4 linked regions of the Lonchura striata genome follow. The protein of the gene in region 1 interacts with the protein of each later gene in a biochemical or structural test. Links are inferred from orthologs where the notes say so. Each region holds a gene or a part of one and is shown on either strand. Other genes may lie near its edges. The genes, in order: DLG4, potassium voltage-gated channel subfamily A member 1, KCNA4 and FRMPD4.

Region 1 (7,501 bases):
TTTTGGGCGGGATTGGGGTTTCAGGGTGAATTTTCGGAGATTTTGGGGTTTTTTTGGGGGCAGATTTTGGGGGGTTTTGGGCAGATTTTGGGGATTCCAGGCGGGATTTGGGATTTCGAGAGGGATTTGGGGTTTCAGGGTGAATTCCAGGAGATTTTGGGGTTTTGGGGGAGGATTTTGGGGGGGGGTTGGCAGATTTTGGGGTTTTTTGGGTGTATTTTGGGGATTCCAGGCGGGATTTGGGATTTTGAGAGGGATTTGGGGTTTCAGGGTGAATTCCAGGAGATTTTGGTGGTTTTTGGGCAGATTTTGGGGGTTTTGGGGCGGCTTTTGGGGGATTCCGGGCGGGATTTTGGGGTTCTGGAAGGGATTTGGGGTATTTTGGGCGAATTTTGGGGTTTTTTGGGTGTATTTTGGGGATTCCAGGCGAGATTTGGGATTTCGGGAGGGATTTGGGGTTTCAGGGTGAATTCCAGGAGATTTTGGGGGGTTTGGGGTGGATTTTTGGGGGTTCCGGGTGGGATTTGGGATTTCAGGCGGGATTTGGGGTTTTTTGGGCAGATTTTGGGGTTTTTGGGGTGGATTTTGGGGGGTTCCGGGTGGGATTTGGGGTATTTTGGGCGGATTTTGGGGTATTTTGGGCGGATTTTGGGGGGTTCCGGGCGGGATTTGGGATTTCAGGTGGGATTTGGGGTATTTTGGTCGGATTTTGGGGGTTTTTGGGCAGATTTTGGGGGTTTTGGGCGGATTTTGGGATTTTTTGGGCGGATTTTGGGGGTTCCGGGCGGGATTTTGGGGCCCCCCCCCCGCCCCCACGTGCGCCGCCCCTCCCCCGCCGTTGCCATGGGAAACGCCGCGGCCGCCACGTGGTGACACCCCCGAGATTTGGGGGGACACCGCCCCTCCCCCACCCCCAAAAACCCCCAAAAAACCCCCAAATCCCCCCCGGGAACCCCAAAATCCAGCAGGGGTCGGAAAACCCCCCAAATTCTCCCCCAAACCCCCAAAATCTGCCCCAAAACCACCACAGGAACCCCAAAAAATGCCCCAAAATTCCCCAAATCCCCCAAATCTCACCCGGAGCCCCCCAGGACCCCCCAAATCAACCCCGGAGACCCAAAATCCCCCCAAATCCATCGGAACCCCCCAAAATCTCTCCAGATCCCCCCAAAATCCTCTCGGGATCCCCAAAACCTCCCCAGGACCCCCCAAATTCCCTCCAGACCCCCCAAAATCCCCTCCAGGACCCCCCAAAATCCCCCAGGACCCCCAAAACCTCCCCAGGACCCCCAGATCCCCTCGAGACCCCCCAAGATCTCCTTGGGACCCCCAAATTCCCCCAAAATCCCCCCAGGACCCCAAAAATCCTCTTGGAGCCCCAAATTCTGCCCCCAGCCACATCGAGACCCCCAAAATCCCCTCGAGACCCCCCCCAGACCCCCCCAAACGCCCCCAAATTCCCTCGAGACCCCCCCAAAAAATCCCCAAACCCCTCGAGACCCCCTCAAATGCCCCCAAAATCCCCTCGGAGCCCCCAAAAAACCCCAAAATCCCCTCGAGGCCCCCCCCCAAATCTCCCAAAAATCCCCCCCCCCCACCAGGAGCCCCAAATCCCCCCAAATCCTCTCGAGACCCCCAGATCTCCCCCAAATCCCCTCAGGACCCCCCAAATCCCCCCCAGACCCCCCCAAAAACACCCCAAAACCCCTCGAGCCCCCCCAAAAACCCCTTCGGAGCCCCCAAATCCCCCCCTCGAGTCACCCCGAATCCCCCCCACCCCCAGGAGCCCCCCAAAAAACCCCAAATCCCCCCAAAATCGGCCCGAATCCTGCCGAGACCCCCCCCCAACAAACGGCGGCGGTTTTGGGGGGAATCCGCGCGGTTTTGGGGTACCTTGGTGGTGACGATGCACAAACAATCCATGGCGGCCGCTCATGGGCCGGGGGGGCCGCGCGAGGAGGAGGAGGAGGAGGAGGAGGAGGGGAGGAAGGCTCGGGAGGGGGAGGAGGAGGAGGAGGGGGGGGGGATGGGGAGGATGAAGGCTCCGGAGGAAGAGGAGGAAGAGGAGGAGGAGGAGGGAGGAAAAAATGGGGGGGAGGAGGAGGAGGGTGGAGAGGATGAAGGGATGAAGGCTCCGGAGGGAGGGGAGGAGGAGGAGGAGGATGAAGGGATGAAGGCTCGGGAGGGAGGGGGAGGAGGAGGAGGAGGATGAAGGCCCCGGAGGAGGAGGAGGAGGAGGAGGGGGGGGGGGGATGAAGGGATGAAGGCTCGGGAGGAAGAGGAAGAGGAGGAGGAGGGAGAAAAGAGGGGGAGGATGAGGAGGATGAAGGGATGAAGGCCCCGGAGGAGGAGGAGGAGGAGGAGGATGGGGAGGATGAGGGGATGAAGGCTCCGGAGGAGGAGGAGGAGGAGGAAGGCTCGGGAGGGGGAGGAGGATGAAGAAAAGGGGGGGAGGATGAGGAGGAGGAGGAGGATGAGGAGGATGAAGGCCCCGGAGGAGGAAGAGGAGGAGGATGAAGAAAAGGGGGGGGGGGATGAAGGCTCGGGAGGAGGAGGAGGAAGAGGATGGAGAGGATGAAGGGATGAAGGCTCGGGAAGAAGAGGAGGAGGAGGAGGGGGGATGAAGGACCAGGATGGAGGAGGAGGAGGATGAGGATGGAGGGGATGAAGGGATGAAGGCTCGGGAGGAGGAGGATGAGGATGAAGGGATGAAGGCTCGGGAGGAGGAGGATGAGGATGGAGGGATGAAGGCTCGGGAGGAGGAGGAGGATGAGGATGGAGGGATGAAGGCTCGGGGGGGGGAGGATGGAGAGGAGGAGGAGGAGGAGGAGGATGGAGGGGATGAAGATCTGGGGGGAGGAGGAGGAGGAGGAAGAGGAGGAGGAGGAAGATGCGGCAGCGGGAAGGGAGGAAGAGCGGGAGGAGGAGGAGGAGGAGCGGGAGGAGGAGGAAGGCTCGGGAGGAGGGGCCGGGAGGAGGAGGAGGAGCGGGAGGAAGGCCCGGGAGGAGGAAGAGGAGGAGGAGGAAGATGAAGGAGCCGAGGGGATGAAGAAGGAGGAAGAGGAGGAGGAAGATGAAGATGAAGATGAAGATGAAGATGATGAAGATGATGAAGATGATGAAGATGAAGATGAAGATGATGAAGATGAGGATGATGAAGATGAAGATGAGGATGAAGATGAAGATGAGGATGAGGATGAAGATGATGAAGATGATGAAGATGAAGATGAAGATGAAGATGATGAGGATGATGAAGATGATGATGAAGATGAGGATGAGGATGAAGATGACGAAGATGAAGATGAAGATGATGAAGATGAAGATGATGAAGATGAAGATGAAGATGATGAAGATGATGAAGATGAAGATGAAGATGAAGATGAAGGAGCCGCCGGGGGGAGGAAGAGGAGGAGCAGCGCGAGGAGGAGGAGGAGGGAGGGATGAAGGCTCGGGGGGGAAATTCGGGAATTTTGGGCGGAATTTTGGGGGCAGAAAAGTCGGGAATTTGGAGGGGGAAATTTGGGGATTTTTTGAGGGGAAATTGGGGAATTTTGGGGTTTTGGGGAAATTTGGGGATTTTGGGGGTTTTGGAGGGGGAAATTTGGGGATTTTCGGGGGAAATTTGGGGAATTTTGGGGGGAAATTTGGGGAATTTTGGGGGGAAATTTGGGGAATTTTGGGGGGAAATTTGGGGAATTTTGGGGGGTTGAAATCGGGAATTTCTGGGGGAAATTTGGGAATTTGGGGGGATTTTGGGGGGGAAATTCGGGAATTTGGGGGGTTTGGGCAAATTTGGGGGTTTGGGGGGATTTGGGGTGGAAAAATTGGGAATTTTGGGGGAAAATCGGGAATTTTCGGGGTTTGGGGGGAAATTTGGGAATTTTGGGGTTTAGGGGGGGAACTTGGGAATTTTGGGGGAAAATCGGGATTTTTAGGGGGGATTTGAGGGGAAAAATGGGGATTTTGGGGGGTAAAATTCGGGATTTTGGGGATTTGAGGGGAATTTGGGGATTTTGGGGGGAAATTTGGGGGGTTTGGGGAAAAAATGGGGATTTTGGGGGGAATTTGGGGGGAAAATGGGAATTTTGGAGATTTAGGGGGAAAATCGGGAATTTTGGGGGGAAATTTGGGAATTTCTGGGGGAAATTTGGGAATTTTGGAGATTTAGGGGGAAATTGGGAATTTTCGAGGGAAATTTGGGCAATTTTGGGGGAAAATTCGTGATTTTGGGATTTCAGGGAGGATTCGAGGGGGAAAATTGGGAATTTTGGGGTGAGAATTTGGGGTTTGGGAGATTAGGGGGAAAATTGGGGATTTTAGGAGGATTTGAGGGGAAATTTTGGGAATTTCGGGGGAAATTTGGGGATTTTGGGGAGAAACTTTTGGGATTTTTGGGGGAGCGGCAGCGGCGGGGGGAGGGGCGGAAGGGGGGGAGGGGTTGGGGGGATTTCGGGGATTTTGGGGCAATTTGGGAGATTTTGGAGTGAATTTTGGGAGGTTTTGTGAGGATTTGGGGTTTTTTGGGAAATTTTGGGTTATTTTGGGGAATTTGGGGTTTTTTTGGCGGCGATTTTGGGATTTTTGGGGAAATTTTGGAGTTTTTTGGTGAAATTTTGGAGGTTTTTTGTGGAGATTTTGGGTTTTTGGGAAATTTTGGGGTTATTTGGGGGAATTTGGGGTGGATTTTGGGGGATTTTGAGTTATTTTGGGGAATTTTGGGGGGGTTTTGTGGCGATTTTGGGATTTTGTATTTTTTGTGGAGATTTTGGAGTAATTTGGGGTTTTTTTGGTGGAAATGTTGGTTTTTCTGGGGGTATTTGGGGTTTTTACGCGGAGATTTTGGGGGAATTTTGGGGTTTGGTGAAATTTTGGGTTATTTTGGGGAATTTTGGGGGTTTTTTTGGTTGCGATTTTGGGATTTTTGAGGGGATTTCGGGTTGGTTTTTTTTGTGAGGATTTGGTTTATTCGGGGGGAGATTTTGGGGTTTTTTGGGGAGATTTTGAGGAAATTTGGGGGATTTTTTTTGGTGGGAATTTTGTGGGGGTTTGTGGGGATTTTTTTAGGGGAAAATTTGGGGGGAATTTGGGGGATTTTGGGGATTTTTGGGTTACCCGGGGCCGGGGCTCGGGGCCGCTCACGGAGCTCTCGTAGCTCTCCTGGATGTCTGGGGGGGAAAAACGGGGTGAGAGCCCAAAAATTCCCAAAATTCCCCAAAATATCCCCAAAAATTCCCAAAATTCCCCAAAATATCCCAAAAAAATTCCCCCAAATTACCCAAATTCCCCCCAAAATATCCCCCAAATCCCCCAAAAATCCCCAAAATCGCCTCAAATCACCCAAAATCCCCCAAATCCCCCCAAGTTCACCCAAAATTCCCCCAAATCCCCCAAAATTCCCCAAAATCTCCCAAATTTCCCCCAGATTTCCCAAATTTCCACCAAATTTCTTCAATTTCTCCCCAGAATTTTGGAATTTCTCCCCAAAATCCTCAAATTTCCCCCCAAAATCCCACTCAAATTCCCCCAAAATTCCCAAACTTTCCCCTGAATTCCTCAAAATTCCCCAAAAATCTCTCAAGTTTCACCTAAAATTCCCAAATTTCCTCCAAATTCCCAAATCTCTCCCCAAAATCCCCTAAATCCCCCCAAAATTCCAGATTTTGCCCCCAAAATCCCCCCTAAACCCCCCAAAATCCCATTCAAACTCCCCCAAAATTCCCGAATTTTCCCCAAACTCCCCCAAAATTGCCAAATTTTTCCCAAAATTCCCCAAAATTCCCCAAATTTCCCCTAAAATTCTGGAATTTCTCCCCAGAATCCCCTAAAAACCCCCCAAAATTCCAAATTTTTCCCCCAAATCCCCCCAAAATTCTCCCCAAAATTCCCAAATTTCCCCCGAAATTCCCAAATTCCGCACCCAGCAGGGCCTGGAACAGGCGGCTCAGCAGGACCCTCAAAACCTCCCAGGACCCCCCAAAATCCCCCAAAAAATCCCCAAAATTCACCAAAAATCTCCCAAATTTACCCCAAAATTCCCAAATTTTTCCTAGAATTCCCAAATTTCCCCCAGAATTCCAGAATTTCTCCCCAAAATCCCCAAATTTTCCTCCAAAATCCCCTAAAAAACCCCTAAAATTCCCAAATTTCCCCTCAAAATCCCCCCTAAACCCCCCAGATGACCCAAAAATCCCCAAAAATCCCCCAAAATCTCCCAAATTTCCCCCAAAATTCCAGAATTTCTCCCCAAAATCCCCTAAAAACCCCCCAAAAATCCATATTTTCCCTCCAAATGCCCCCCAAATTCCAAATTTTCCCCCCAAATCCCCCCCAAATTCTCCCCAGAATTCCCGAATTTCCCCGGAATTCCCGAATTTTCCCGGAATTCCCAAATTCCGCACCCAGCAGGGCCTGGAACAGGCGGCTCTGCAGGACCCCCAGGAGCTGCCGGGCCCGGAGCCGGGGGGGGACCCCCAGAAACTCGTCCAGGAGCCGCCGAGCGCCTGCGCCCCAAAATCGGGAATGGGACCCCAAAAATGGGGAGGGGACCCCGAAATTGGGATTTGGGAACCCAAAATTGGGATTTGGGACCCCGAAATTGGGGAGGGGACCCCGAAATTGGGGAGGGGAACCCCAAAATTGGGATTTGGGACCCCGAAAATGGGATTTGGGACCCCAAAATTGGGATTTGGGACCCCGAAATTGGGATTTGGGACCCCAAAATTGGGATTTGGGACCCCCAAATTGGGATTTGGGACCCCAAATTGGGAATGGGACCCCGAAATTGGGAATGGGACCCCGAAATTGGGAATGGGACCCCGAAATTGGGAATGGGACCCCGAAATTGGGATGGGAACCCCAAAATTGGGATTTGGGACCCCGAAATTGGGATTTGGGACCCCAAAATTGGGATGGGAACCCCAAAATTGGGATGGGAACCCCGAAATTGGGATTTGGGACCCCGAAATTGGGGAGGGGAACCCCAAAATTGGGATTTGGGACCCCGAAATTGGGGAGGGGACCCCGAAATTGGGATTTGGGACCCCGAAATTGGGGAGGGGACCCCGAAATTGGGATTTGGGACCCCGAAATTGGGGAGGGGACCCCGAAATTGGGATTTGGGACCCCGAAATTGGGATTTGGGACCCCAAATTGGGGATGGGACCCCAAAATTGGGATTTGGGAACCCCAAAATTGGGAATGGGACCCCCGAAATTGGGGATGGGACCCCGAAATTGGGGAGGGGACCCCGAAATTGGGATTTGGGAACCCCAAAATTGGGAATGGGACCCCCGAAATTGGGATTTGGGACCCCGAAATTGGGGATGGGACCCCGAAATTGGGATTTGGGACCCCGAAATTGGGATTTGGGACCCCGAAATTGGGGAGGGGACCCCCAAATTGGGATTTGGGACCCCAAATTGGGGAGGGGAACCCCAAATTGGGATTTGGGACCCCCAAATTGGGATTTGGGACCCCGAAATTGGGAATGGGACCCCAAAAT
Region 2 (6,867 bases), on another chromosome or scaffold:
TCCAATTGTCACAGGGTACATGTCACCATAGCCCACAGTGGTCATGGATACCACCGCCCACCAGAAAGCATCAGGGATACTTGTGAAATGAGACTCAGGTTCTTCAGCCTCAGCAAAATATACCGCACTAGAGAACAAAATCACCCCAATGAAGAGGAAGAAGATTAGTAAACCTAGCTCTCTCATACTTGCTTTGAGGGTCTGTCCCAAAATCTGGAGGCCCTTAGAGTGTCGGGAGAGTTTGAAGATTCGAAAGACTCTTACCAGTCTGATGACTCTCAGGATGGCCAAGGAAGTGGCCTGCTCTCCTTTCTGAGTCCCCTCCCGCTCGGCCATCTCGGTGCCCAGGGTGATGAAGTAAGGGATGATGGCCACAATGTCAATGAAGTTCATTATGTTCTTGAAAAAATCAGTCTTGCTAGGGCAAGCGAAGAAGCGCACCACCAGCTCAAAGGAGAACCAGATGATGCACAGGGTCTCCACAACAAAGAAGGGGTCTGTGAAGATGTTAGATTTGTAGACCTGGGTGGTGTTGTCAGTGCGGTGCACTGTGTACTCCTTGTCCTCCTTCAGCTCAGGTAATGTCTCTAGGCAGAAAATCACGATGGAGATGAGGATCACCATGACAGAGACTATGGCAATAACCCTTGCCGGCCCAGAGCTCTCTGGGTACTCAAAGAGGAGCCACACTTGGCGCTGGTACTCCCCCTCCGGCAAGGGTCTCTCCTCATCTTTAATGAATCCTTCATCTTCCCGGAACTTCTCCATGGCCTCCTCGCCCAGCTCATAAAATTTGATCTCCTCAGAGAACATGTCCAGGGGGACATTGACGGGCCGGCGCAGCCTCCCCCCGGACTGGTAGTAGTAGAGGATGGCGTCGAAGCTGGGCCGGTTGCGGTCGAAGAAGTACTCGTTGCGGAGCGGGTCGAAGTAGCGCATGCGCTTCTTGGGGTTGCCCAGCAGCGTGTTGGGGAACTGGGCTAAAGTCTTGAGCTGCGTCTCGAAGCGCAGCCCCGCAATGTTTATCACCACGCGCTCACAGCACTCGTGGTCGTCGTGGGCAGCGGGCTGGTAGCTATCCTGGGGGTGGCCAGGTAGCGCAGAAGTCTCGTCCATGTTCTCTCCAGCCATCACGGTCATGGTGGCACAGAGGAAAGGGGACCAAGGGGCAGGGGAGAAGTGAGGGAAAGGGAGGAGGAGGAGGAGGAGGAGGAGGAGGAGGATGGAGGAGCACAGGGAGACCCAGGGCGATGCAAGGGTGAGGGGGTCAAGGTGGGATGGGGAGCTTGAGGAAGGGGTGGAAGTGGAGCCTAAGGGATGGAAATACCCAAAAGGGGAAATGAGAGGCGGGATGAAGGGAGAGGCATCAGGGACGATGGAAGGGTGAAGAAAGAGGGAAGAAGTACCTTTAGGGGGGGCAGAGGGCAGGTAAGGTGAGGGGTCCTGTCCCCCACACCGGGAGGCTGAAGGTCTATGGAGTGCACCCCCAGGCTGGGGTTCCCCTCCCCAGCCGTCTCCTTTAGCCTTTAACTCGATCCGTCCACTTTTCTCGCTGGCTCGACCATCGCCGCAGCTGCTGCCACGAAGCTACCACACACACACATGCACACGCACACACACATACACATAAAATAAATAAATAAATATAGAAATAAATATATAAATCACGGGCTGGCTGGGAGGCGAGTCCTTGCAATGCCAACTCAGCAAATTTTCCATCACCTGCCTCTTCCTTCCCGACTCCCACCACCACCACCACTGCCCTGGTCCTCTCCTCTTTTGCGCTTGGGAGGGAGGGAGGGAGGGATGGAAACACTCTGCTTCGAAGGCTTAAACCTCACTTGCAGAATGGGGGCTGCCAGGGAGGAGAGAAACAGAATAAACCAGCCCCCGAGCCCCTCCACATACACACACACACTCAGGCGCAATGGATTGGCTTTCACACCAGCAGGAACATCCCGTTCTGCTCACTACGGCAGCACATGCGGAGTTCTACGCGTTCCTACACATCCCCGGACATGCACCAAGGCCTCCAAGGCAGGAAGGTGCCCCGAACTCATCGGGAGGGTTTCCCAGGAAACTTCAGCGGGGTCAGCTCCTGCAAGGAGCCTCCCGAGCACCGCGCTCCCCGCTCTGGAGACTTAGCTGAGCACTGACAACTTCATCACACCAACCGGGTGGCGGTGGAGGAGGAGGAGGGGGGGGGGGAGATTAGGAGGGGGAGAGCAAAGCATCTCCTCTCCTGCTTTGCAGCAGCTAAAGGTAACTGAGAGAGAGACAAGGGGAGGGAGGTCGACATCCCAGACCCAAAGCGTCCAAAATTGAGTGGAACATCGGCAGGGAGAAGGGGCTTTTCCTTACCTGCTCCGGGTGAGACGCGCCGCTTAGGAGTAGGAGCCAGTGCCGGAATGCGTCAAGTCGCCTTGCAGCAGCATCCAAAAAAAAAAACAAAACCAAAACAAAACAAAAACCGCAGTGGCAAACTTAACCCTCCTCCTCTTGCGCCCCTCTTTATAACGCAGCGATCGCTTTACAGGGCTGCCTGCGAGACACTGAAATATTCATACACTGTCTTAGGCTGCACCAAGGGCGAGTGGGCTTAATTAGTTTCTGCCGAGAACCGCAGTGGGGGGTGGAGTGGAAAAGAGCGCAAAGTACCTTTTCCAAAAGGCTTGAGTTAGTCAGTAAAATCAAGGAGTCTTAGATAGCTGCTGGCTGTCCAGCTCTCCTCCCTTAGGACAGCTGGAAAAGGAGCCGGGCGCTGGTTAGCGGCGGCGGCGGAGATGTCAGAGCGCCGCAGCCCTGCAGCCGCATCCCCGGAGTCGGGCTTGGCTCGTCCCGGCAGCAGCAGCGGCGGAGGCAGGAGGAGGCAGGAGCTGGACAGGGCTGCTGAACGCATAAGAGCGAGGAGCAAACTCCAGCCATTTCTTGACGCTGCAGCATCAGCAGAAACCTGAGAGCTGTTTGGTGCAGCTCGGGGACCGGGAGGGCGGGGGAGCCGGGGGCCGGGGCCGGTGGAGGAGGGAGGGATGCGCGCTGCCCCCGGGCCGGCCGCCCCCGCACGCTGCGCGCCGCGCCCCCGACGCAATGCGGGCGGCTCCGGGATGGGGCTGCGGGATGGAGCCGGCAGCATCCCGGCACGGGAGCCACGGGCAGCCCGCTCAGGTGCGCTGAGCAGCCGCTTCCCGACGCGCCCAGGGACGGCGGGACAGCGCTCGGTCCCCCCGCAGCACCTGCGGCGGAACGGGGCCGAGCATCCCGCACGGAGCGGGGCCGGGCATCCCGCACGGAGCACATCCCATACGGAGCGGGTCCGAGCATCCCTCACGGAGCACATCCCGCACGGAGCGGGGCCGCACATCCCGCACGGAGCGGGGCCGAGCATCCCGCACAGAGCGCATCCCGCACGGAGCCTGGCTGCGGCTCCCGATCCCCCTGGCCCCGGCCCGCCTCGGTACCGAAGGAGGCTGCACAACCGGAACCTCCCGACACGCTGGTGGAGGCTAAAAATCCCGAGCGGAGTGGCTGGAATTGGGAGGGTTAATGGTCAGGCAGGGACAGTGCCCTTCCATACTGCTTTATCCCAGCGAAGTTGTTTAATTGATGAATCGCACAACTTCGAGGTGGAAAAGACCCATTATGTCATCAGCTGGCCTCCCCTGCCAGCACAGGATTGTTGCCCACAGTGTCTGATCGCTTACATTATATAAAAGCCTGCTGCTCGCTTTGTCAGGGCGGCAGCGGTGATCAAATCCAACCCGTGCCTGTGTAATTTGAAGCGCTCCAAGAGCTGAGTAACACCAAGTCCGTGTTTAACAGACCTGGTCTCATTAGCTTTCCACTGCATAATACATTAACTTCACTTAAGATCACCACCTTGGAAGTCCAAAAATACTTAACCACCTGACCTTCCTGGTGGTTTCTGTTTCTTCTTCCTTTCCCCTTACTTATGCCCATGTTTTGTTGTTTGGGGTGAAGTTTTTTGATGATGTTGTGGGTTATTTTTTTTTTTTTTTTTTACCAGAGCAAAAACCCTTTTAAAAACCTCTACCCCTGGCAGTGCTTCGATCACTAGTTAGCATGCTGCATTCACCATCCCTGTGGAAAGATAAGTGCAAAGAAACAAACAGATCTCCTGTCTAGCCTGGTACAAGGGTGGGGTTTGCTATTGTTTGTTTTGGGTTTTGTTTGCTTGTTTGTTTTTGGGTTTGTTTTTTTTTTTAGTATCACACATGCTGAAAGTTTTGTGAGAAACTTCTGGTGAAGCTGTGGGCAAGAGAAATGTCTGCCTCTGCCACTCCCAGGTGAAACAATCAAAACACGAAACAAAAAGAGAGAGTCTTCTTCCAGTGAAAAATAAAGCCCAATTTTCTGTCTGAAGTTCAGCAGCTCAGCATCAGCCCCCAGCCTTGGACCATGCAAAATCTAAACACCCCCAAAAAACAAAAGGCTATTCCCATCAGCTAAACCAACCAGGCTGTTTTTCAACCCCTTGAGAAGCCCAGTGACAGCCTTCTTGTCAACCTCCTCTTATGGCAGTGAATTGCATGCCTGGCTGCCACAGCTGGCTGCGCAGAGTTCTGGGAGCTCTGCACTCGCTGTGCTCAGAGCTGCTGGGCAGAAGGAGCTCTGGAAGTGAGCACTTTGTCCCCCTGTCCCAGCCCAAAGGATGCTCTGGATTGGGCTGAAAATGCAGATTTGACAAGCAGAGGCCCGAGCTCTCGGTGCTGCTCTGCCCTTGGCTTTCTGCAGGATTGCAGGCAGGGCTACACATTCTGCTTTTGCATCTGGAAAACAGGACTGTAAAGTGCTTCCTTGCCTGTCACAGCTCCTTAGGCTGCTGGCTTCTGAGAGCTGCCTTAGCACAGCAGAACCCAAATCTTCGTCGGGAGCTGTGTGCACAGAAATAAAAGAGGAGTGATAGCAACCTTAGCTTTCCCATTGCACCAAAAGCACAAATTGGGATATTGCTCTCCCCTCTCCTCATTTTGAATAGCTTTGGACTGTGGGATTTCTCTTTGCAGTCTAACTACCATTACTGACAAGCAGTCACACGGGAAGGGAGGGATCTTTCTAAGTGGGCTATTAGCCATAGGTCAATAAAATCTGGTTAAAGTACACAGACTAATGAACAGTGTAACTAGGGCTTGCAAGAAGGTCGTATGTTACACATTATAGGGCTAAGTAGCTTCAATTAAATGTTGAGGAATGGAAGGAGAATCCAGCTTGCTGCCAAATTCAAAGTCAGGCTGCTTCTATTTTCTACCTTCTACATTAGCAGCAGCTGAACTGGTCACCCCCCCAAAGAGCCACACTGAGAAGTTCTCTTCAGGATCAAAATTTTTTCAAAAGGAAACTAAAAATTGTAAAAATTTGAGCAGCTTTTTGTGGTGGGAAGTCTGGTGGTACTGTTGTGATGAGAAAGAGCAGCAAGGGGGATTTTTTTTGTTGTTGTTTTCTTTTTTTTTTTTTTTTTTGAAAGAAAGAATCAAGTTGTTTATTAAAAAATCTTGTGTGATGTGAAGATTTAAAAAAAAATTGTATTGAATGAATGTGACTCTGAAACTGGTTTAAAAAAATAAGCATTGGCTTTATACAGTGAAACAGGCTTTTAATATTGTCAGCAGGGAACCTGGAAAATCCTGATTGAAATCAATGGATGCAGAAGCACAGTGGATTTCTGAGCATGGCATCATTCCCGTAAGTGTCTTGAATGCCCCCCAAAATTTCCTCACCTGAAAGAGACATTTTGTGAGATAAAAACCATTGTGAAATCCAGTGGCAAAGGATGTCCTGGTTGCTTGAATACTATGGATGCTCACAGGCACTGTAATCCCAATGCATCTAAGCCTGGAAACCAACCTGGACACATTATAGTTTCATTCTGAGCTGCCTGAAGCCACCAATGAGTTGTGCAGGTGTCATCACACACCTCATTTAATGGCCTTGGGAGGCAGAGGATAAAGTGAGATGTTCTGGCCCCAGTTTGTGGTGCAGAGGCTCTGTCAATCCTTCTTGGATTCATAAAATGGAAAGAGTCAACAGATGGAACCAAAGGGGAGCTTGTGGTGTTGACAGTTGGGTTTTCTTCCTCGAGGGCAACAAAGAATCCTTTAAAAGCTTTTAATCTTTTTGCTAATATCCTTCAGTATTACTGTGCATTTTTTGTGACCAGGATAATCAAATCTCATGCTTCAAAGAATATTGATAGCTGATGGGAGATGACAATTACTTTGGTTGCCTCTTGTTATATAATTTAATTTTTTCTCCCGTTCCCTTTTAAAGCCTTAAAAATGGGCCCTCTGTGATCAAAAAAGGAGTGGACCTGTTGCTACACAGAAGGAAGACAAGAGCTTGGGAGTTATCCCTGTGAAGAAGGAAACAGAAACTGCCCTCACTCATATGATAGTTGTGCCATTTGGACCAGCCTGGAGAGAAAAGATGTCCCTGCCTTGCCTCTACATCCCACATCAGCAGGCTGGAAAGGTGCAGAGTGTGGCAACACAGAATGGCTGGGCAGAGAAGAACAAAAAATGTTCTTTATTAGGTTGGGGTTGAGCTTTCTTCTGTCCTCCTCAAAAGTAGTTATATAATAGATAACAAAATATATATAAATATATAAACAAAGTGCCAATCCACTGCTGAGCATATTCAGGTTTTTAACACACAGGACTTTTTAGTTAATGGGAGCCACTTTTGGCTTCCCATAATTGGATGATTTAGTACAAGATTTCATAAAAACACCAAAGCAAGAACATATTTATCAAGAGTGCTGCTGGCCACCAAGTGCAGAGAGCAGAGAGTGACCTTTCCCCATGTCAGGAGGAGTGAGCACCACTGTCAGAGAAGGGAACAACTGAGGAGGAC
Region 3 (7,399 bases), on another chromosome or scaffold:
AGAGATTCATCTGGAAGCTGCATCTGACTGCCATCAAATTATGAACCATGACACCTGTGTGCCTACTGCAGTTACAGCCCTGAATCTTTAGCAGGAAATGTTCTAGTCCAGTAAATTTATATTTATCATCTAATTTATGTGTAACAATCTCTGTAAGTAGAGCTTTCTAGTATGGTTTGGACTGCTACAACTACAATGGTGTATTTTGACTTGCAGTCTGATCCTACAGTTCCCTCATCCATGTCTTCCTTTTCTTAAATAGAAATCATAAAACATATTTATTAGAAATTTACCATCATCTATCTTCTAGAACTTCATAGAAATATCCTTTTTTTGCTTATAAATATATATGGGAGCTACATTTAATGTCATACTTAACATCTAAATTTTCTCTCTTTATGTGCTTCTTCACATAACAGTTTGCTGCTGCATGTTCTTGGAGCATGAGATGCCAGAAGTTCCAGCTAACAATTATTATATATTTTAACAGGAATAGTTTTGAGCTCTTGTCATACACATGTTTCTTTCCAGTTGTTCCTCAAGTCACGGTTAGCATCATAAGGCAAATTTACATTAATTATTATCCTACTGTCTGCTTTTTCTGCAGAATATTCCTTATAAAATCCCAGGGAGAAATAAGTCTACTATGCCCTCGTAATGCTTTTTGATCTGGACAAAAATATATGCAAACAGGGATTTTTAACAGCATCTGATATTTCCAGGTTTTATAATCATTACGTTTTCTGTCAGCATAGTTGGAAAATTGGGTATTCAGAATAATACATTTATTCTTAAATGCAGAAATAGAGCAAATCCAATGATATGGTAATTTAAGTAATTCTGTGAGGCTAATTCATCTCCTTCATGATTTAATTAAAATAACAGTTTCCAGACTGCAGATCCACCCTTTTCACTACTACTAGGCATATCTAAAAGAAGGCGCAGTGAATGATCCAGGTTCTCCCATTTCAGCTAAAATCAAATTATTAGGAGAGAAAAAAAGAGAGGTGATAAATAACCCTTGTTATACTGGATAGAAAAAGGATGTCAGCATTATGATTGATGTGGCTGTGGGTATCTTGGAAATCTGGTTTCTCATTTAGCAGCTTTCTCTCCAGACTACTCTTTTTTTTTTTTTAAATTTTTCACTATTGTCGTTTTTCAGAATAGACTTGATATGAGTCCCTGTTTGCTCAGAATGAATGGAGAAATATCCAAGTCCAAAAATAGAACATACGTGGTATTTTTATCCTGTTTTCTGAGTAAATCCAAGCTCTGGTACAGGAAATCATTCTCCCAGTAAAAATATCATCAGTTTTTACTGCTGTTCATCCTAAACTCAGTGGTAAATGGCCATGGTTTTGCAAACTTTCCCTGAGAAAATATGAAAGGGCTGCTGTTCTCTGGAGCATCAACTTCCTTGGATTATCCTGCTGAAGCACAAGGAATGAACAGATGTGCTTTTCATACAGGTTGTGTGGAAGAACTAGACTGAGGATAGGCTGCATTTTAGTCTGCCAAGTGTCTCATTAAACACTGCCAGTCATATTCAAAAGAAGAGTACTTGAGCCAGATTCTTTGACAGGAGAGTCTTACAGAGCCTAGTTAGTAAAATATGAATAAAATATGAACTTCCTGAAGTTCAATTCAACAACCGCTGGGAGACAAAACTTATTTGTGGAGGCAAGAATTCACTGCTATACTTTGGTACCTAAGGGTCTCCAGCACTAAACAGCTGAGAGGAGAGGGAAATGCAAGTTCTGAATCATGTCTCAGCACATCTGAAATGCTGTAGTGACCAGTCTTTTCACCTGATAATCCTGAGCTCCCACTGCTGCAAGGTTTTGCTTGTTTTGAAAGGAGCCCCCAATCTTACAGGACCTTGGATGTGTTGCCTTGGAGGGGAATAGAAATAACAGTGAAGCAAGCCTAGGGAAGAGCAGAAGAGCAAAAAGAGAAGGCTAAAAGGAAAGTAGAATTATTCATGGTCTGGAAGTGCAGTAGTACTGTAGTTCAGTCTTATTCACTGCAGAGATTACAGCAGGGAGGTGAGGGCTGGACTGAGGACAGACCCTGCCAGTGTGAATTTCAGCATAAATTAATATTGGGCATAGGAACATAAAAGAACTTTGTAAATCTCATGTTCCCTTTGCATGGAAATGTATTACGTCGTTGTGCATTTTTTCATAGCTAACCAGTGGTGCATATTTCTCACCTGCATCACAGTAAAACAGGACAAACCTGTGTGACAGAGATCTTAGAGATTCTTTACTATGATACAACATCTCTATCAAAGATAGTGATGTGCAGATATTCTCTCTTTGTTCTAATAAGGGATAATGATATTATCCCTTATCAATGTGAAGGAGCAGAGGAAATGTAATAGCTCTCAAATAAAAACTGTTCTCTGAGTACTATGAAAATAGAAAGCTGAATGAAATGAGTCAAAGTATTTATCTGCATATACTTAAAGCTTGTTTTTTGCTTTTAAATTAGTTAAAAATTGGATCAAGTTAGATCTCTGAGCTAGATTGAAATGCATGTGGTTACGTGATCCCTATTACATTAGAATGGATTTTAAAAAGCACAAAAAAGCCTTCTGCTTCTCCCATTGTCAGTTATGTGTGTATCACGTGTGCATAGAATCCTACACCACAGTTTGTTTATCTTTGCCCGAGAACATGCTTTAGCTAATAAAAACAAAATAACAGTGCTCAAAAAGGAATACCAAAGTGATTGGTCTGTTTCTACTTGTCTTTTTCACTCAGATGTCCACTGAAAATTTCATTTTAACAGTCACAAGATAACGTAAGACCATGCATCTGAGATTTTGAAAGAGAAGTAGAAGGTAAATAAGTCATTATCTTTTATCCCAAGTCCTTGAAACATCTCAAAAAAGAAATAAAAGGGTGTTCAAATTCTACAGATAAAGGGCAACAAAAGATTTGTTAGGGTCGAAATGACTGAGCTCCGGAAAATGCCCCAGAATTAAACTTTACTGATGAAGGAGTGAGTCTAGGTGATCCTAATGATTCCATAAGTTTACCTATGATAACTGGTATTTTTATGGCTTCATACATGTCCTTGTGTTGAAGTGATGGTAGGGGTTTGATCCATGACTTTGGTATGCCCCTGTGCCAGGTTACAGAAGAATCTGAGGTTTGGTATTAGAAATTAATTTATAGATGTTTTTAACTGTTTTTGAACCCAGATTTTGGGTTGCTTTTGTGCTGACAGGAGACAGTATTTTAATGGTGTTTGGGATGACATTAGTGATTTATTATATTGACTATGGAACCTGAAGTATTGTGAATGTTAAAAAAAAACAGTTAGCTCTAGGTGCTATTTATGTGTTTCACGGCACTGTTGGCACGACTTGGTGCCTGGCAGGCAATATGTTGATTTGGCTGATCCCCTATGCTCCCCTAAATAGTCATAGGTCATCCACTGACATGAGTGGGATGAAAGGTATGGGCAATAACTGATGTAGGCAGCAGAAGTACATGGATAATGTGGGTTGTGCTGCTGGGGATCTAAAGGGAAATAGCCACTGGGCTCTCTTGGTTGCTCTATGGAGGAGGAGCTAGGTCATGAGAGAAATGCCCAACCTATTTGCTGCACATGTTGGATTTGTCTCCAGTTGCAAACCCTTTGTGGCAAAGTGTCTGGTGTTGGCGCTGCCTTTGATTGCTTCTCGATTCAGTCTTTTTCTCCATGAGGGGAGTGCTTGCAGTTTGTACTGAGGTGGTAGAATTGGAGGTGGAGGGTCAAATATAGCCAAGCTGTATTTCCATGGCCATCCCTTACAGGGAGTGGAATGTGCCACAGCTTCAGTTTTCCAGGTGCAAAAGGAACAGGCAGTCTATACCCTGCTCGTGCTGCAGCGGGGAGAGGGAATTTGTTGCAGGATTTGAGGTGTTAACTCCCAAACACAAAACGGTACCCTCTAGCCATGAACTAGGTAGGACCTGCTTTCTGTTCAGGCACAGAACTAGGAGTGAAAGTTGACTTGGCTTCATTTGCGACAGGGCTGCAGGAGCAGAAGGAATGTTTGCTCGGCTCGGGGCCGAGCGAGGCAGCGCCGTGCAGGTGCGGGCACATCTTCTCTCCTCGTGCCAAATTTGATCCGGGCTTGGCTTTGGAATTCTCCGAGCGACCTCAACAAAGCGTTTCGCTTCCTTCGGGGCGCGCCCAGAGCAGCAGAGGCCGGTGCTGGCAGCATCGCTCGGGGCGGACAGCTATCGACTCCGGTAACGGCGGCGTTAACAGGGCGCGGGGGCAGGAGCCGTGCCGAGCCGAGCCGTGCCGTGCCGAGCCGAGCCGGCGCAGTGCGGGCGGCGGCCGGCAGGGGCCGGCGGCGGGCCGGGAGCGGCGGCAGCGGCGGGCGGCGGCTCCGGAGCAACAGGGCCGGCTCGGAGCGCCGGGGGCGCGGTGCCGCGGACTGGCCCAGCTCCCGGCTCCCATCATCCGCCGGCTCCCATCTTCTCCCGGCTCCCATCCGCTCCCGGCTCCCATCATCTCCCGGCACCCTCGGCCGCCAGCAGCGCCCGCCCGCGCTCCGGCCGGCGGCTCCCCGGCCGCGTCGCCCCGAGTGGGAGCAGCCAACAAGTGGATGGAGCGGGCGGCAGCCGGCTGAGCCCCGGACGTGCCGGGGGCAGGCGCCGCACGGAGCCGGCCCCGTCCTGCGTCCGCCGGAGCCCGGCTCCGCGCACGGATTTAGCCAGCGCTGATTTACGGAGCTGCCGCCCGAGCCGGGCTCGCCGGGACCGGCGGTCGCGCCTGCTCCGCCTCGCACACGCCAAGCACACGCACACCGCCTTCGTTTTCCCCGTGGGGACGAGACCCTCGCTCCTTGCCTTGTGGCCGATGCCGAGGCGAGCGGCTGTGGCGGTGCGCGGTGCCCCCAGCCCCGGCCGCCTCCCCGGCTCGCTGCCCCGGCAGCCGGCTGGAAGGGGCAGGAATAACCCGCCAACCTGTGGTGCGCACTGACCACAGCCACCTGCGAGCGTGGAGCAGCCGGCACAGCCCCTCCGCGCTGCTGTCCCCCGCTCCTTACACCAGCGGGAGCAGCGCTGCTATTTCTCTGCCTAGGATCGGTAAGTATAACGGTGTTTTTAGGCTTTTCTTCTGCATGACATGTAGGTACGATTTGAAAAATAGCGTCGTTTAATAGTTCGCGTTCACCTTCTCTGGTGTATTAATAGATGTGGCTATAAATGAGGCTTCTGTTTCAAAGGGGGGTGTGAGGGGCTGTGGGTATTTTTGTGTGTGTGCTTGCATGTAGACGTTGCTTCAGTGCACCTGCAGTTGTTTTCTTGACATATCAGGGTATTTTCACTTGGCTAAGCATTGTACGTGCCCGTTTCCAAATTAAATCCAGTGAGATGTTCATTGTGACCGAAACACAATTCTGCTGTGGATTAAAATGTAACATTCCCGCATCTGATGCGTTTCTGCAAATACAACAAAAGCTCTTTGTCAAGATACATTTATTCTTTAACGTTTCGTATGGATACATGGAGGTGTATCTCTTACGTATGTGCTCAAAGACCTGAATGCATTGTGCGTTGCAGTATTTTTATTAGTGTTTATATGTGTTGGTGTTTCAGAAGCATGCATATGTTTGTGTATGGATGCAAGTGCTTGTATGGGTGGGGATTTTGTATCTGTCTCTATATATATGTGACATACCCACCCACATCCTTACCCACAGAGTCGTTCAAAATCTCTGTGCATGTGATGTGGGTGTGTGTGTAATGTAGAAGTGTGAATAGTGTGGGCAGGAGAAGATTTGAATGCCATGGTAATAGATGACACAGTTTCATTTGATCGGTTGACCTTTTAGGAAAACAATCCAATCTTTTCCCTTTTTGTTTTGTTTATTTTTGTGTGTTTGTGCATGTGCCTCAGGTTAAGTGCTTCTTCTGCATGACCATAACCAAAGGGTGACCCATCCACTCCCCTGTGTCCCATGGGGACCTCAGAGCCAGTTTCTCAGTCTTCATCTCCTCCTCCTCCTCTTACCACTGCTGCTGATGCCCTGGGTGCTGCTCCCAGGTTTGAGACATTGTTGACAGGCTGAAGAATGGATTTGTAAAGACCTCCTCACTGTGTAAATGAAGTGATGGCTGGAATTAACTTCAACTCTCCAAGTAAGGACATTAAACAATACGTTTGCTAGGCCAAAGCATTACCAGGAACAAATAATGAGCAAAGAGTCTATTTGCATTTAGTTTTAATGATGAGCTAAAACTGTCTGCGGAGAACAGGTACCCTTTGGTTTGCATATTCTTTTCCTGAGGAATGCAGCCTTTATAGCCTGCGAGGCAGTCGTGATTCTGATCAGATACAGCTGTGATGGCTGCAGGAGATAAATGAAAATAAAGGGCCTTGGTGGATGGAAGAACAAGGTCTCAGCTGTTCTCTGGTCCGATCTGAGAATTTCATCTTTTCTCATTAGCGAAGCAGTAGCTTGTGTCAGACGTTCTGGAGAAGAGGAAAATGCGGATGTGTGGTTTTCCAAAGTACAGATTCAGTGTTGTGACCACGTTGCCACACTTGATGCGCAGCAGACTGTCCTCCAAACGCAAATGGCTTTGAACTTCCCAGCGAAGGTCGCGGTGGTGCTGTAAATAACGCAAAACCCTGTTACGGCCAGCGGTTACGAACAAAACCAAGCAGCTGCAGGATGGAGGTCGCCATGGTGAGCGCGGACAGCTCCGGCTGCAGCACCCACATGCCCTACGGATACGCGGCCCAGGCACGGGCCCGGGAGCGGGAGCGGCTGGCGCAGTCCAGGGCGGCGGCGGCGGCGGCTGTGGCGGCAGCCACGGCGGCGGTGGAAGGTGGGGCGGCGGGCGGAGGGGGACCCTACCACCACTACCACCAGGAGCAGGCCCGCGGGGCCTCCTCCTCGCACGGCGGGAGCGCCTCGCGCAGTGGCCTGCCCTGCCGCCAGAGCGGTAGGAGGAAGAAGGGCAAGAAGAGGAGCCACCGCTTGGGGAGCAGGGAGTGTGGCGCCTCCTTCCCCTGCTCCGAGCTGCTGCCGCTCAGCGGCTCTGAGGAGAGGATACTGAAGGACTTGAGCGAGGAGGAAGAGGAGGATGTAGATGAGGATGAAGATGACGAGGAGGAAGGGAAGCTCTACTACAGTGATGACTATGGGGAGGATGAGTTTTCATACTCGGACCAGCCACCCGATGACGGTGGAGGCCCCGGGGGTTACAGCTCCGTCCGCTACAGCGAGTACGAGTGTTGTGAGCGCGTGGTGATCAACGTGTCGGGCCTGCGGTTCGAGACCCAGCTGAAGACGTTAGCTCAGTTCCCGGAGACGCTGCTGGGGGATCCGGCCAAGCGGGGAAGGTACTTCGATCCTCTCAGGAACGAGTACTTCTTCGAC
Region 4 (6,973 bases), on another chromosome or scaffold:
GTGCAGTGAAGAGTCTCCATTTAAGATTCTCAGTGACAGATTCTGTCATAAACTAATCTTAATTATATTTATGTTTACCTGTTTCCTCTGTAACTTAACTGCATTATGAAAAGGTTCCTTATTTTTCTGTTAGTAGCAAGCTATCCAGTAATAGCAGACTTGCACGTGGCACTGATGAGTAAGTATCATTTAGGTAAACTAAATATATTTAGAGACACCTTTCATAGTTGTTAGCATGCTATATTTAGAGAGCAAGAGCTGAGTGATGGATTTAGGTAGGGAGGTGTAGGAGAATATGGCTAGAAATTTAAGTGAGGAGTCATCTGTAGCAGTAGCTAAGAAGGGCCTTCAGTGATGATAATGCATGTAAAATCCTTCAGAGAACATTCTCCCTGCTCTTCTCATGGTCAGGGGAGAGAAAATGGCTCTTCCAAAAGGGAGTTCACTGCCCAAGAGAGATACTAGTTTCTGCATCCCATTCCTTGGAAGAGTCACTTTTTCTGTGTCAGCAATAGATCGGGCTAGAGGGGACAAGCGTCACTAAGCCAAAGATTGCTTTTCTGAATACCTCCCACAGGCTCTCTGAGGGCAATGTTCAAGTGAAATATGTATGGAGCATTTTGGATTTCTAAGAGCTGTCTGCTGTCTTTGGGCTTGCTTGGACTTCAGAAGAGATAGGAAACAATGCAGTGGAAATGTGCATATATGAGACCAAGTGGGAAAAATCATGGCATAAAAATTTTTATTCCTTCTTTCTGAGGCTGTCTGTAACATCCTTTTCCATATTGCCAATATGTCTGAGTGTTTGACAGCATTGAAAACCTGGGTTATTTAAAAAACAATCCTTAAGGAGTTTAAAATTCATTGTCTATTTAAAAAGCACAGTCATAGGGAAGGAAAGGAAGGGGAGTGGTGAATGTATGTGGATCCTGGAAGCAGGGCTGCAGAAAGGGCAAATCTGTGTCAGGCTTCTGAAGAGGAACCTTGGCTGATGTGAGTCGTGGTTGGTTTAGAGGGCATTTGCTAAGAGAAATGGTATAGCAAGGGGTGGTGGTACATTTAACTGGGCTGGATCATGGCTTCAGGATGACTTTGTTCCCTCTGTTTTCACATAAACTTTTAGTAGTTCTTAACTTTGCTTGTGATCATTGGTTGCCTCTTCAGTAAAACAGGTGCATCTTTGTTGCCCTCTTAGTTCAGATAAATAAGTTTCCATAGTTTTCTATGGAAAACTATAGTCTGAGACCAGATAACTTCACACTTATGTGTGTTCACATTTCCCCAACAGTTGGAGTCAGCAGTGGCAAGTGTAATTGGGTAATATTTTTGTATAAATTGATTTGGTTTTCAGTTTCAAGGAGGTTCCAAAACAATGAAGCCCTTCAGAATAGCACTGGATTTCATAAGGATATAACATCTCTGCCATCTGTTCTTTAGTGATAACTGATATCTTGTGAAACATTTTTATGACACAGCTATTGTTTTCTTTTTATTTTATAATTTTGTTTTATTTTCTTCAGTTACAGAGCACTGAGCATATTCTTGAAACTAGTCTGTGCCTTACGAGTGTGTCCTGTCTGATGGTACATCAGAATCAGAAATGCAAAAGGTTTCTATCCAGTGCCTGCTTTTTCTCAAAAGATAGGAGCAGCTGCTTGAGCAGTGGACCTCTTAGCCAAAAGTCAAATATCAACCCCTTAAGCACTGTTTGACAGGGATTTGGCAGCTACAGCCATCCTGAAGGGTAAGTAGAGGACAAGAAAGGTGAGAAACGTTGCCCCCTGGTCCCCAGGGTCATGAAGAGCTAGGTGTGTAGGCAAAAATGAGACTCCTGGTTCCTGAGGGGAGAACAGACTGTGATCTGTTCTCTACACATTGGGATGTGCTTCCTGTGCTGCTAGAACTGAGAGCATCCATATTTGAAGGGGGAAAAGAAAAAACATCCCAAATACTGTTAAAAGGAAAAAGTAGGTGTATATAGTAGATAGCCCTGTACCTCTTGATCTTTCAGCATAGCTAGAGATTTTATTCCCTTGCTTCATGCATCATGCCTGGAGCTAATGGCCATGTGTTGTTGAAGTTAAGATTTCTGTGAAATGGCTCTTGCTACCACAGTGGTGCTGTCACTAAGGAGCTGCTCTGACATCTGGCCTGTCCTTTTAATTCCCAGTTTGCTGGATGTGCAGGGTGTGACCTGAACAGGCTTGTTACTGAATGTCTCCTGGATGGAGATGGTCTTTGATGCAAACAGTTGTGCTACCTTGCAGCTGAGGCAGTTGGGTGGCCATGGGAAGAGTAAAATGAGATAAGAGTACAGATGAGATAATCTGCTTATTTAATAATTTCTCAGCAGAAATTTGAAAACTAGAAAGCAGCAACTAGCTGATGACCTGGATGCTTAGGAAAGGGAAATATTATAGTCTAAAAGTCCAAATATACTGATGGACCAAATGGCCTTCTTGCTGTAAAAAGAAAAAAAAAAAAAAAGAGAGAAAACAAAGAAAAAAGTAAAATAAAATTTTGATAATGCTGATAGATGTTACATGTATATGTATGAGGAAAATATCCTTAGAAGAATTTATGTTCTTCATCATTCCAGTCCAAGGAGCTGTTCATTTTCTCCAGCCTTCATAGCAGCAGTAGTATTTCAGTGTTTCTGATGTATTTTTCTTCCATCACATGCTATCCAGTGCCAGATTTACAACCTATGCCAATGTAAGTGACTAGGTACTGTTTCTTCCCACTTCCTCCCAAAATGTATATCCTAAATTTGCCTTCTGGAAAACCTTGGTGCTACAACTAAATATGTTGAAACAATAGATATGAAATAGATAGTGAGGGGACCACTTAGCTCACCAGTTTATTTGGGGTTTATGCTCTGTATTGTTTCCCAGCTGAAGCAGGCAGATATTTAGTGTGTTCCACATTCAGGTGTGCAAATAGAGCAAATAGTTCCTTCAGCAAGAGGAGGAAACCGGGTTTGGGTATAATCTGGTTTACCTGGTGGATGTAGTTGGGTTGTTTTTTTTTTTTCTTTGTCAAAAAACACATTAACAACTTAAACAAGAGGTGTCTGGAAATAGCTATATGTGTGCTCCATAGTAAATTGTAGCGTTTCATCAATTGAATGTAATTGGTAAGCTGTTATTTGAGAGAAACAGACACAGAGGTTTCTCCTTAGCAAATCAGCATTTTGCATGCACAGCATTTCCTTCAAAGATCAGTTTTTTCAACTACCATCCATTTCAAAACACATCATAACAATACAATTCACCAGGGTAAGTCTTTGTTATATGAGGAAACAAAAATAAAAATGTGCCTTAGTTTACTTTGTGGGAATTTCTGTGGTCAGAAATGAGAGTAGGAACCAGCAGTCTCTTTGGGAGTTGTGAGCTCAGGCATTCGATCAGTTGGAAAAGATACTCACAGATGTTAAACCTTCAGGCATCCATGCACTCCATTTGTAACTTCTCTATTAATGAATTTGTGATGATTATACAATTTCAATTTGCCAGAAGAAAAAAAATGGGCTACAATTCCTAAGACGCTATTGTGTTATTCTGGTGTCTTTCACTAAAATGAAAAGCCCTGCATCAAAATGCAGGGTTGTCAGAGGTCTTTCGAGAGTAGATGTGCAACAAGGAAAATATAGAATGAGAGATTAAATGACAAGTGTAGTTTCTTGAAGGAGCTCAATTTCCTTTTCTGAAGAGAAATTTTCTTCAGGATTTGAAATACTATTGCAGCATAGCTACTTGGCAGCTTGGCTTGTTCGTGTGTTATGAGAATGATGCTAATAATTCCTACTGACTGCTGTGACCTCTGCTGGAGGGAAAAGAGTCCATTTCCTTGTAGCCCTTTCTCTCAAAGCCTGATAACATATTCTTAATTTATTTATTTACTACCTGTTTGTTCCCTGCAGCAAATTTCCCTGCCTGCCAGGTGGCTGAGGTAATTTACATTGTCATTTAATTCTTGTCATAGATGTAGTTCAAAAACAAATATCTGATGAAATTTTTAACCTAACACGGCTTCGGTTCTACGGGTGTATGCTTTGTATTCTTTGTGGGGCTTAATTTAACTTTGCCTATGAATGTCTGCCTTAATGTTTACATCCACAGCTACATTTCTGTATTTGTACAACACGCCTTGCTCCGAGCGTTCAGAGATGTCAATGTGTAAGTCTGGATTGCATCACCTTTCTGAGTGCATACCCTGAATCTGCAGTCAGATCTACTCAGTTTGAAGGCTGCTGTTGCAGTTCTGCCTCCATTTAGTTGGAAACTACTGACAGTGGAATCATTTCAGAATAACAGATCTTTGGCTTCAGACTGTGAGGATAGCCACTAATTATGTATTTCTCATTCTTCGGTACTGCAAACATTGGTTTACATTTTGACTTTATGCTCCAGTTCACTAATTAGATTCCTCTTTAAGAAGATGCATGTTTAGTATCATTGTTTTGGAAACATTAAGAGGTTTGGGGTTTTTGTTTGTAGGGTGGAGAGTTTTTTGAGGAGTTTGTTTGTGATTTTGTTGTTGTTTTGCTTGGTTTTTTTTTTTTTTTTTTTTTTTTTTAACATGGAGGACTTTTTGCTGTATCTAAAGCAGGCCTGTCACTGGCTTCAGATCAAGAACTGTCCTTTGCTGTGTTGGCTCTGCCCCAGAGGGGTTGTAGTGTGGAACAGCAGTGAGCACACCTGTGCCTTGTTTTTGCAGGGACTCCAAGCAGTACATTGCAGCCCTGTTGTGTCAAACAGCCAAAACTTTTTGAGCTCTGACCCAAAAAGCATGACTCAGAGTTCTGCTTGCTAGCTCTCAGCAGCCTAGGAGGAGCTTACTAGAGACACACGTAGGGCCACGTGGTGTTTGTTCTCAGCACATTTGTGGGCAGTGTTGTTGTGGTTTGGTTGTAAAAGCAGCCCCCTCAGATGGGGAAACAGGTCAGCAGAGTGCCAGGTTTTGGGTGCGAGTGGGAGGCTTTCAGGGAGGAGTGTGAGATGGAGTTAGCTGCAGCCTTGGAATCTCTGCCTGCTCCTTTCTTCTGGTGAAATGGTGTCTTTCTGTGCCAGCTTAGCTGCCTGTGGTGAGACATGCAGACAAACCAGGTGTTGGAGCCACAGCTGTGACACTGGCAGAAGATGAAAATAGCTGGGAGGGACAAGCCACAGGATTCATGTGATGCCTTAGGTTCTTGTGTGTGGGAGGGAGGGAGCTCAGGGTTCCTGTTTCTGTCATGTCTCTAGGGGCTGGAGAGGCAACAAAAGTTGATGTAGAATGAAGCTTGAGTAGAAGAATCCTAAAGAGGAAAGTTCTGGGAAAAGGGAAGGCTTCTGCAGGACATAAAGTAATTTGGGAGGAATAACAAATGAAAAAGTCTAGATAACCATAGTTTTTTTTCCCTTCAACTTAGCCTGTGTTCTAGCAAACAGCACAGAAGAATCAAAACCCTCAGTATTTCAGAAGGTCAAAATCTAAATTAATGTACTGGGCAAAACCAAAATGGTTCCATTAATGGTGCTGAAAGTATGATCGTCTCTTGCTGGTTGGATTGTTTAAAGGTCTTAATATACCTTTGCTGTTTAGAGGGGCTGTGTTGGCATCTCCATCTTCTCTTGCTCCTTGACAGGCAGATTTTACCAAGCTTACTTCTTCATGTCCAAGGCTTTGACGCTTAGTGAGGGAAGCACTTAAACTCTTGGAGATTATCATTACCATAGTGTGGCACATGGAGAGGAATTTACAAACCTAGAGTCTGTGGTTCTCATCTTTATTGATAGACAAGAATTGATTATAAAAGAACTTCTATGCTATTGAAATTAAAGTTATAAAAGCAAATTCCAGAAGTGGAAACAAATATAACAGTTAAAAAAATAATATATTTTGAAAAAGCCCAAACTTTAGAATCAGTTCTGGGTTTTTTTTTACTTTTTCTATAAAATCTTTATCCTTATTCAAGGGAGCAGTGGAATTTGAACATAGTGATATTTACATAGTAAAGTGTCAAGTTATTTCCTTTTCCTGTAAGATTGATATAATTGATATTTCTATTATCAGGGGAAAAAAGTCTAGCTGCCTGCTTGACATCTCATCATCTCCTTTAAAAATCTTCTAAAGACCTTGTGACAAAAGGCAGTCTTAAGAATCCTAGCAACCACTTATGGATGATAAGATTTATTCTATTGTGAACTTAAGTAGAATAGAAGAAATACAATGGTTGTTGAAATAGGAATGGTGATGTTTAATATATACATCACCTCTACTGCTTTTTTGGGGAGTGGCACTCTTCCTGTAACCAGTCTCCAGCTGCCTCATACTGAGGCAGCACTCTTTGTGTAAAGTATTTAGTTATTCCTTTGTATTCACATGAGTACTTCTCCTTATGTGGAAATCTGAAATACCACTGAGTGGAGGAGTCCTTACAGCATCCATAGGGACAGGTTGTGATTGCATTTCTATGGCTGGTGAAAACCTGAAATGGTGGTGGATGCAGAAGAGTTTGGATCACCTGTACTTAGGGTAATACTAAAATATCTAGATGGCAGCCAGTGTGAGTTTTGTAGTGCCAGCAGTGCAACTTTAAAGCACCTTTAAAGACCAAAGGGTTTGGTTTTTTAAATTATTGTTTGCAGTATTTTCTCTTGGTGTGTTGTGACATTACAGACCCAGGTATGCAATCCTTAGGACTCCAGTGCTGCCCACTTTTCTCCAAATTACATCTCTGTGGGAGTAATCCAAGAAAGATAGAAGGAGGACTTTCTTCTTGATGGAAAAGGACTGAGTTTCTGCATAATCACTGCAATATTCCTTTGTTTGAGTTGTAGTTTGAAGAAATACTTTCACAGGTCCTGTCTCACAAAAAACAATCATGGTTATCTTGACTTCCAAAACTGCTTGTGTACTTCCAGAATGAAGGGATAACATTTCTCATGTTTAGTTGTAGAGTTTGCATCTCTTGATTTGTGTGGGGATT

The links.
Region 2: the proteins of DLG4 (region 1) and potassium voltage-gated channel subfamily A member 1 form a complex in vitro, tested with the Homo sapiens proteins (3 studies listed by BioGRID and IntAct, with this or other methods). The link is inferred for Lonchura striata from reciprocal best matches to the Homo sapiens genes DLG4 and KCNA1.
Region 3: the proteins of DLG4 (region 1) and KCNA4 form a complex in vitro, tested with the Homo sapiens proteins (8 studies listed by BioGRID and IntAct, with this or other methods). The link is inferred for Lonchura striata from reciprocal best matches to the Homo sapiens genes DLG4 and KCNA4.
Region 4: the proteins of DLG4 (region 1) and FRMPD4 interact in a biophysical measurement, tested with the Homo sapiens proteins (2 studies listed by IntAct, with this or other methods). The link is inferred for Lonchura striata from reciprocal best matches to the Homo sapiens genes DLG4 and FRMPD4.

The regions. Positions count from the first base shown.
Region 1 is NC_134636.1:1,785,963-1,793,463, reverse strand, and holds the start of DLG4 (disks large homolog 4), read right to left. Parts: upstream 3,010-7,501; 5' UTR 1,924-3,009; coding exon 1,894-1,923; intron 1-1,893. UniProt on the Homo sapiens protein: Postsynaptic scaffolding protein that plays a critical role in synaptogenesis and synaptic plasticity by providing a platform for the postsynaptic clustering of crucial synaptic proteins.
Region 2 is NC_134607.1:4,304,980-4,311,846, forward strand, and holds the start of potassium voltage-gated channel subfamily A member 1, read right to left. Parts: upstream 3,003-6,867; 5' UTR 2,659-3,002; exon of another isoform or gene 2,423-2,658; 5' UTR 2,362-2,422; intron 1,588-2,361; exon of another isoform or gene 1,311-1,587; 5' UTR 1,141-1,310; coding exon 1-1,140. UniProt on the Homo sapiens protein: Voltage-gated potassium channel that mediates transmembrane potassium transport in excitable membranes, primarily in the brain and the central nervous system, but also in the kidney.
Region 3 is NC_134608.1:61,417,331-61,424,729, forward strand, and holds the start of KCNA4 (potassium voltage-gated channel subfamily A member 4), read left to right. Parts: upstream 1-4,394; 5' UTR 4,395-5,096; intron 5,097-5,910; 5' UTR 5,911-6,688; coding exon 6,689-7,399. UniProt on the Homo sapiens protein: Voltage-gated potassium channel that mediates transmembrane potassium transport in excitable membranes. Forms tetrameric potassium-selective channels through which potassium ions pass in accordance with their electrochemical gradient.
Region 4 is NC_134604.1:98,557,585-98,564,557, forward strand, and holds the start of FRMPD4 (FERM and PDZ domain-containing protein 4), read left to right. Parts: upstream 1-3,958; 5' UTR 3,959-4,089; coding exon 4,090-4,178; intron 4,179-6,973. UniProt on the Homo sapiens protein: Positive regulator of dendritic spine morphogenesis and density. Required for the maintenance of excitatory synaptic transmission. Binds phosphatidylinositol 4,5-bisphosphate.